Linked DNA regions of Nothobranchius furzeri. The protein of the gene in region 1 binds, or shares a complex with, the protein of each later gene. Links are inferred from orthologs where the notes say so. Each region holds a gene or a part of one and is shown on either strand. Other genes may lie near its edges. The genes, in order: bmp2b and rgmb.

What was found.
Region 2: the proteins of bmp2b (region 1) and rgmb are in contact, whole or in part, in a crystal structure (PDB 4UI2), measured with the Homo sapiens proteins. The link is inferred for Nothobranchius furzeri from reciprocal best matches to the Homo sapiens genes BMP2 and RGMB. Residues at the interface, in NP_001191.1 of Homo sapiens: Val308, Gly309, Trp310, Trp313, Met371, Tyr373, Leu374, Asp375, Glu376, Tyr385, Met388; in NP_001353437.1 of Homo sapiens: Lys97, Arg100, Gly101, Leu103, His106, Ser107, Leu110.

The regions. Positions count from the first base shown.
Region 1 is NC_091742.1:22,692,997-22,697,295, reverse strand, and holds the start of bmp2b (bone morphogenetic protein 2b), read left to right. Parts: upstream 1-1,375; 5' UTR 1,376-1,553; intron 1,554-2,330; 5' UTR 2,331-2,343; coding exon 2,344-2,698; intron 2,699-4,299. UniProt on the Homo sapiens protein: Growth factor of the TGF-beta superfamily that plays essential roles in many developmental processes, including cardiogenesis, neurogenesis, and osteogenesis. Induces cartilage and bone formation.
Region 2 is NC_091757.1:44,843,457-44,846,438, reverse strand, and holds the end of rgmb (repulsive guidance molecule B), read left to right. Parts: intron 1-183; coding exon 184-960; 3' UTR 961-2,398; downstream 2,399-2,982. UniProt on the Homo sapiens protein: Member of the repulsive guidance molecule (RGM) family that contributes to the patterning of the developing nervous system. Acts as a bone morphogenetic protein (BMP) coreceptor that potentiates BMP signaling. Promotes neuronal adhesion.

The DNA.
Region 1 (4,299 bases):
ATATTGGACGGATGACGTCAGCTGGGAAGAGCTGCAGGTTTAACAGGTTAAAAGCAGTTTAGGGTTTACATTTTTCAAATGAATTGATTTTTTTTCTTATCCGTGGCAACAAACCTCAAGTTTGATCATTTAGAAACTTGATAGTTAATTAACACAACTGTCCTTTAAAAGTGATAAAAAATGATATTTTGTTCATATAACAGGAAATTAAGAGGTTGAAAGGAATTGGTTTCGTCATATTTATTACAAATTAACCCTTTGATGCATGAATTATGAAATCTTCAACCATGATTTTTTAAACTTTTTTTTCATTCATCTGTAGGTGTGAATGAAACAAATTTCAGCAAATATTATTTGTAGTATTTTGTTAATTTACAAATAATTTATTACATGTCCATCTCAGGGGACAGCGTGCATTCTGAACACGAAATATGTTGGCTTGACTTACTGAAGTCCAAATGAAGGAGCTCAATTGCAATAAAGTCTTCAACAGCTGTAAAATAAACAAATAACAATTTTGAATACCTGTCCACTGTATAGTGACCATTATGCATCAAAGGGTTAATGTAAAATTATATGATGAAGCCTGTTTATTCTTTCTATTTGGTTGATTTAAGTAATTCCTTAATAACGTGTTGTGTTTGCTAAAAGGAAAAAACTGTTAATAACTGCAAATGTCCCACATAGTTCATTTTTCTCACTACATTTTGCATTTTGATCATTGGCAACCTTTTGAATCTCAAATGCACTGAATCTATTTTGGCAAAACAAACAAACAAAAGTACTTGTTTGTCAAAAGAAGCAAACAAAAAGTACTTTTTTTTCTTCAAATATGCTGAGTACACATTCTGAGGGGAAATACTTGGTTAAAAATTGTAGTAATAAACTCAGCTCATAAACTCCTGCCAGCTCTTCCACCTGTTCTTGGTGGTCCTGTTACAGATTTTAATCCAAATCACATTTGTAGATGTTTGCTGAAGGGGAGAGGAATAAAGTTTAAACAGTTTTCCATTGTGAAGTTAGAAATGAGGGATTTTTCTCCTGCGGGAGTTACGCACAGGAAGTGGTGCGGTTTGGACAGATGACTGACAGCCCAGTGACATCACTGTAGGACAAAAAGCGTCGCAGGGGAAAGAGAAGGCACCAATCAATAGACCCGCTCCGGAGAGCTCTCCCTCTCCGAGCACCAACTTCACTGCGCTCATCTCTCCACGAACATCGCGCGACGCTCCACGTTTCTCCACTTTCAGCTTTTCTTTTTTCTAATTTTAAAAATGTCCAGACAAGCTTCCTCGCACTTAGTTCGGCTATGCCTGCGCGCAGCCGCTTCCTCGTAGACTTAATTTTTCTACTTTTTTTCTTTCCTCTCCGGACTGAGCAAGACCCGAACCCGACGCGCAGCTGGTGAGAATATGTGCGAGAAGCGATCGGCGGAGGGCGCGGGCTGTTTTCGGTCCCCCAAGCAGAAGCAGCGTGGATTAAACACGAATTAATGTGGAATTTATCGGAGCTTAAAGGTGGAACGACGACCGGACACCGCGCGTTCTCGTCAGGTAAATCGCTAGAATAAAGAATAACCATCGATGTGGAGGTTTTAACCTGAATCCGCACTTGGACTGAACACAGAAAGGTCACTTCACAAGTGACAGCTCATTTGTTTCTAATAATAAATTCGTGCGTAAAGCCTCCGCCTGTTGAGCCACGGAGAAACAGAAAATGAAAATAGAGGTAAAAGTTGTCTGTGTGGAAGTTGTTTGACTCCGTCTGTGTTTCTGATGCCTGGCTGTGGGGCACACGTCAGATCTAACACCTGCAAGCCTCTTGAAGTAACTATCCTTTATGATTACATGCAAACAGCGCGCAGTGGGACTGGAACTGATGCGTGTTCTTCCTTTGATCCTTCTCTCTGCATGGACTTTCATATCTGCAACAAGATCTCTTATCTCTTCTCGCTGGAGACCTTTTGTCTGCAGCGTTTCCCTTCAAATCCTTTGATTTGTCTGTTTAATCCACCTCTGTCATTAGTTTTTCACCTTGATATTTCATGTTAGGGTTCATGTTCAACCCAAACTAGAGGAGCAGTTTAGCCTCTGGGTTTTTCTTTCTTTCTTTCTTTCTTTCTTTCTTTCTTTCTTTCTTTCTTTCTTTCTTTCTTTTTCTTCTGCACTTCAAAGTGAAGAGGTGTCTCCCCCTTTTTAACCTGCTCCCCTTCAGTTTTACGCTCTGAGGGGGGATTTGGGAACTGCTGCCGCGAGAGCCTAGCTGGGACCACCTCACGTCAATACCACATTGCCTGCCAGTGTATTGACAGAAACCAACTTTCTCCACAGGGACTGACTGATCATGGTCGCCGTGGTCCGCTCTCTCATGGTACTGATGCTCGCTCAGGTGCTGCTGGAAGGTGCTGCGGGACTCATCCCCGAGGTAGGCCGGAGGAAGTACAGCGAATCCGGGAAACAGACCCCTGAGCAGTCGGAGAGCTTCCTCAACGAGTTCGAGCTGCGGCTTCTCAACATGTTCGGGCTGAGACGCAGGCCGACCCCCAGCAAACAAGCCGTGGTGCCCCAGTACATGGTGGACCTTTACCGGATGCACTCTGCGAACGGAGACCACAGCACTAAGCGGCCCAAGAGCATGGGGAAGCACGCAGAGAGAGCCGCCAGCAAGGCCAACACGATTAGAAGCTTTCACCATGAAGGTATATATTAGTGACATACCTTTACATGTCTCTCTCAGACAGCGCAAACCTATATTTAAACATGACTCAGATCGTCAACACTGAACTTCAGAGTCTTCCCTGTTTTCTGAAGGTTTAGTCATTTACAGATGACATGCTCCGAAGGTATTTGCAACCTTAAAAAATGCTTTAACTTAAAGATTGATGCACAAAAATCACATCAAAGTTGACTTTTCTCACCTAAGCAGCAGTGCAACATTTAGACAAACATCCCTCCAGCACAGCTGTCACAGGCTTCAGAAACATCAGGGGCGGCGGTATCCCCGGGGTCATTAGTTTCTTAATAATTGATGGTGTTTGCGTGGGATTCTGAAAACTGTTTTTCCAGACACGCACCACGGGAGCAGCATAAAGGGCGGTGCGCCTGTGCGCAGGTGATAGACGTCACCCTGCAACTTCAAAAAACAACCGACATCAGAGCAACACACACGATGACGAAGTCACCGTGTCAGACTGAGTCACCTTTAACAAGACTCAAATTAGCTCTTGGTAACGCCGTAGAGGAGGCGTGGCTTCCCTTCTTCCTGTTGCTTCCAGTTGTGCATCATTACGCGTGAACCAGTTTGGAGAAGACAGCGATAGTTGAACTACAAGTCTCAGTTCAGTTGAATTTAAAAACCTATATTTAAACATGACTCATTCACCTCTCGGATGAAAATAAACGTTTTGCAGACTCTGGATCAGCTGTTAAAATGTGGATTTAAACAGTATTTTAACAAAGTAAATGATGCTTTGTTTATAACAGCTTTAAAAGCAGGAGCACTCGATGTTTACGTTTTTGTATAATAAACATCTTATTCCCGGTATAGTAGATTTGCACATCTATTTATCTTAATGTGACCCACGTTGCTGGGTCCATTGGGGCCCTGCGCAGAGTCCTCATACAGAGTCCTGTGTTTGAGTGGAGAAGTTTCTTTCCATCAGGGGTGAGTCAGAGGGGTGGTTGAGTGGTTGCTTGGGTGCTCTCCAAAGGCCTAGTGCAATGACACCAAGTGGCTACACTGACACACTACAAACAACCCTGAGCAGCAGGGTTGAGTGACTGCTCCCAGCTCACCGCTGGAAACCTCTGCACTCAGCCAACACACGTTGACATTTACACGTCTTCTCCTGGCTCTTTTCGTCCTATGCTAACAGCCGCGCGGTTATTAGGCTTCCCGTATCGCGTCGAGGGATTGTTCCCCCTGTAATAAGCACGGATCTACAGATGTTAATGCAGCACATCAAAGCAAACAGCTCCAAGCCTTCGTCACGTCTGCCACGCCATGCTCCTTTCGCTCGGACAATTGGTTTTCAGGAATAACTCGAGTCAAATAGAGCCTTTCCACCGTAGCACAGGACGCAGCTGCCAGAGATGGCCGATCCAATATTAGCATCTATCTTTTGTTTTGGCGAGTGGCACAAAAATAAAGCTGTGGAAATCTGTGGTTCGCGTGCTTTTGACAAGCATAAACTTGTTCACACAGCAGTTCCAGACCGAGATCGAGAACAGTTGCAGAAAGGAACTGAGAAAACGGTGACAGAGAAGACAAGAGAAGAGGATCTCTAAAAGGACGGAGGGG
Region 2 (2,982 bases), on another chromosome or scaffold:
TTAAGTAATTTCTCGAACTCTGGGCGACTTTTACCTTTACCCATCCTGTCTGTGTTGGATCTTCCACCGGGTGATGAGGCACCGCTGCTAAATCTAAAATGTGATTTATTTTAAAATTCTCCCAAGATTTTCAATGAAATATTTAGAAAACAAGTGTTCTAATTTTTTTCTTCCTTTTTGCAGATTACCATCATCTTCAAGCCGTATGAGGGCTGCACAGATCAGAGGGTCTACCAGGCTGTCACAGACAACCTTCCTGCTGCCTTTGATGATGGGACGGTGAGCAGTGGAGACCCCATCCACAAGTCTCTTGGAGCAGATGGTGCAGCTGGGAAGGTCCGGGCTCTGTGGATCTCTGAGCGCAGTCCTGGGCGCCATGTGGAGCTGCATGCTGGATACATCGGCGTAACTATAATTGTTCGCCAGTTGGGACGCTACCTGACGCTGGCGGTGCGGATTCCTGAGGAGCTGGCTCAGGACTACGATGACACCCAGGACCTTCAGCTGTGTCTGAACGGCTGCCCCGGCAGCGAGCGCATCGACCAGGCGGGACATCTTCCCCTCCCGCTGTCTCCTCCAGCACTCGGTCTACAGCGACAGCAGTTGCGTCAGCCCAGTTTCTCCTCACAGACACAAGCACATCCCTATGGCGCCACGCAGATTTTTGGTGTTGAAGGGGCGAAGGAGCGTTGCAGAGAGCAGCTGGAGGTGCTGGACATTTATTTCCACTCTTGTGTGTTTGATCTCCTGACCACCGGGGACGCTAACTTCACAGTGGCTGCATACAGCGCTCAGAAGGACATGGAAAGTCTCCATCCACACCAGGATCGGTGGAGGATCTACCCCCGTGGTTCTGCCACATCCATCTTCCGTTCTGATTCACAGTCTATCAAACATTTCGCTCTGCTCCTGCTGTGCGCTTTGAGCTCTGTTGTGGCGTCAGCCAGTATGTGTGCCTGAATGCATGTAGGCCCATGTTTGTGTGTGTGTGTGCGCGCGCAGTAGGAAGAGAGTTTAGGACATTGTTTTTGATTGTTTTTGCTGAGCACTGATAATGAATACTGATGCCATTCTCATGCAGAGAGGAGGCAGCAGGCGGGACACTTACTGGGAACTGGAAGTCGTTTAAAAGAGGCGATGAGCCCCCCTCCCAGTGTGCACAGGAAAACTGTCTGTCAGAACCAGAATCAGAAAATGCAGCCGACAATAAAACCAATGCTGTTATTTGGATGAATCGACTGTAAATAGATCATTTATTTCTTCCGTGCACATTGTAATGATGTTGATGTTTTTTGATTTGCCATTTGATGTGATTTTTAAAAAAAAAAAGTACCTCAGACAGAGGATTTTCTTAACAAAAGCACTTTATTTTAACATTTTATTCCACACAATGCCAGTCAGTGTTTCTTCTTCACTTTCTGTCCTCCACCAAAACTCACAACTGTTCATATTTTCTCTGTATCTCGTTGTTCCATCACACTTTTTCTTAAAGATAAAGTCATTTGAATGGTTGGAGCTGACATTTTGGTTTAAATGCACCATTCTACCAGTAGCTGACTGGACTCAGTCAATGTGAGGTTTTCTGTTGAATGTATTAGCTATGGCGTTGCAGCAAACGCCATCAGTACTTTGTTAGTAAATGGTTTCAAGTGTGTGTGTGTGTAAAAGTGTTTAGACTTGTCAGGTTCTTTATTTGAAAGCAGCTGAAGAATGTGGCTTCGTTTTACGTGAGTCACATTAGAAGTATTCCAATCGTTTTGCCAAATTTAAGTGACTACACTATCACGTTTTGTACTCGCCGTATTTTTCTGTTACAATTTGAGCCAAAGACCGATCATTTATGTTTCTCTGTACAGGAACTCTCTACCAAACCAGCATCTGTATCCTGTTTGTTTTAAATTAGCTACTTGTAATCTGTTTTCTCCCTATTCCGGATGTTTCTTATTAAGATGCATGTAAAGCAATGCAGGAATAATTCTTAAAAAAATGTCGGATGACTGGGAAAACTTCACCTTACTGTGCTGTTGTACAATTTGCAAGCGCAGCGTTGATGCCTGGTAGAAAATTCAACCCCTATAAATATGTAACATATGTAGATCAGTTTAAGTTTTTCACATTGTGATCTCTTTTCATCATGTGAGTGTCAGTTTGGTGAAGAGTGACTGGTCAGTGTTGAAATAACTAACTTATTTATAAACGTAGTGTCCCGTAGAGGAAGTTAAGCTCCATATTCTTGCTGTTGGATAATTATTTAAAAGAAATGTCAGCTGTGATTGTACTGCCACCTAGTGGTGCTCTCTTGCTTTGTCGGTGTGTTACTAAAGGCGCTCAAAATCAAACAAAAAGGAAACAAAATGTGTGCTTGTGTTTTATTTATTACAATAAAGTCAAAACGGTTCATGATGCTTAACTTTAACATTTAAGACTTGTAATGAAATAATAGACAAATCAAGAATGCCAAAAACAAACAAAAAGATTTTTAAAAAAGGTGTAAAATTGACCAGATCTCTCAGTTCTTTTTATTGTAATACAAGATCTGGATCATTTCGTACTAACAGAACTTCCACACACAAGTTTAAAGACACACACACACACACACACACACACACACACACACACACACACACACACACACACACACACACACACACACACACACACAACAGATAGAAGCATTAAAACACCTGTGTGAGGTTAGGCTTCGATCAGATACCAGGTTTGGCCTCACAAACACAATCTGTTTTCAACTGCCACAGTCAGCGACACCTGGGCCGGGAACAGACTCAAAAAGGCGCCACTGAGGATTTTTAACAGCTAAATCTTCAAGTTCATGTAACTGTACTGAAAACCCACATTCAACCCATCTTTATGAAGGCACTCATGAGGATGAGAACATCTTGTAGGGTGGAAATCCTCTCAGCTCGACTCAGAGTCACATTGTGCATCAGCAGCTCTTTATTTTCAGATGTCTGAAAAGTCAAA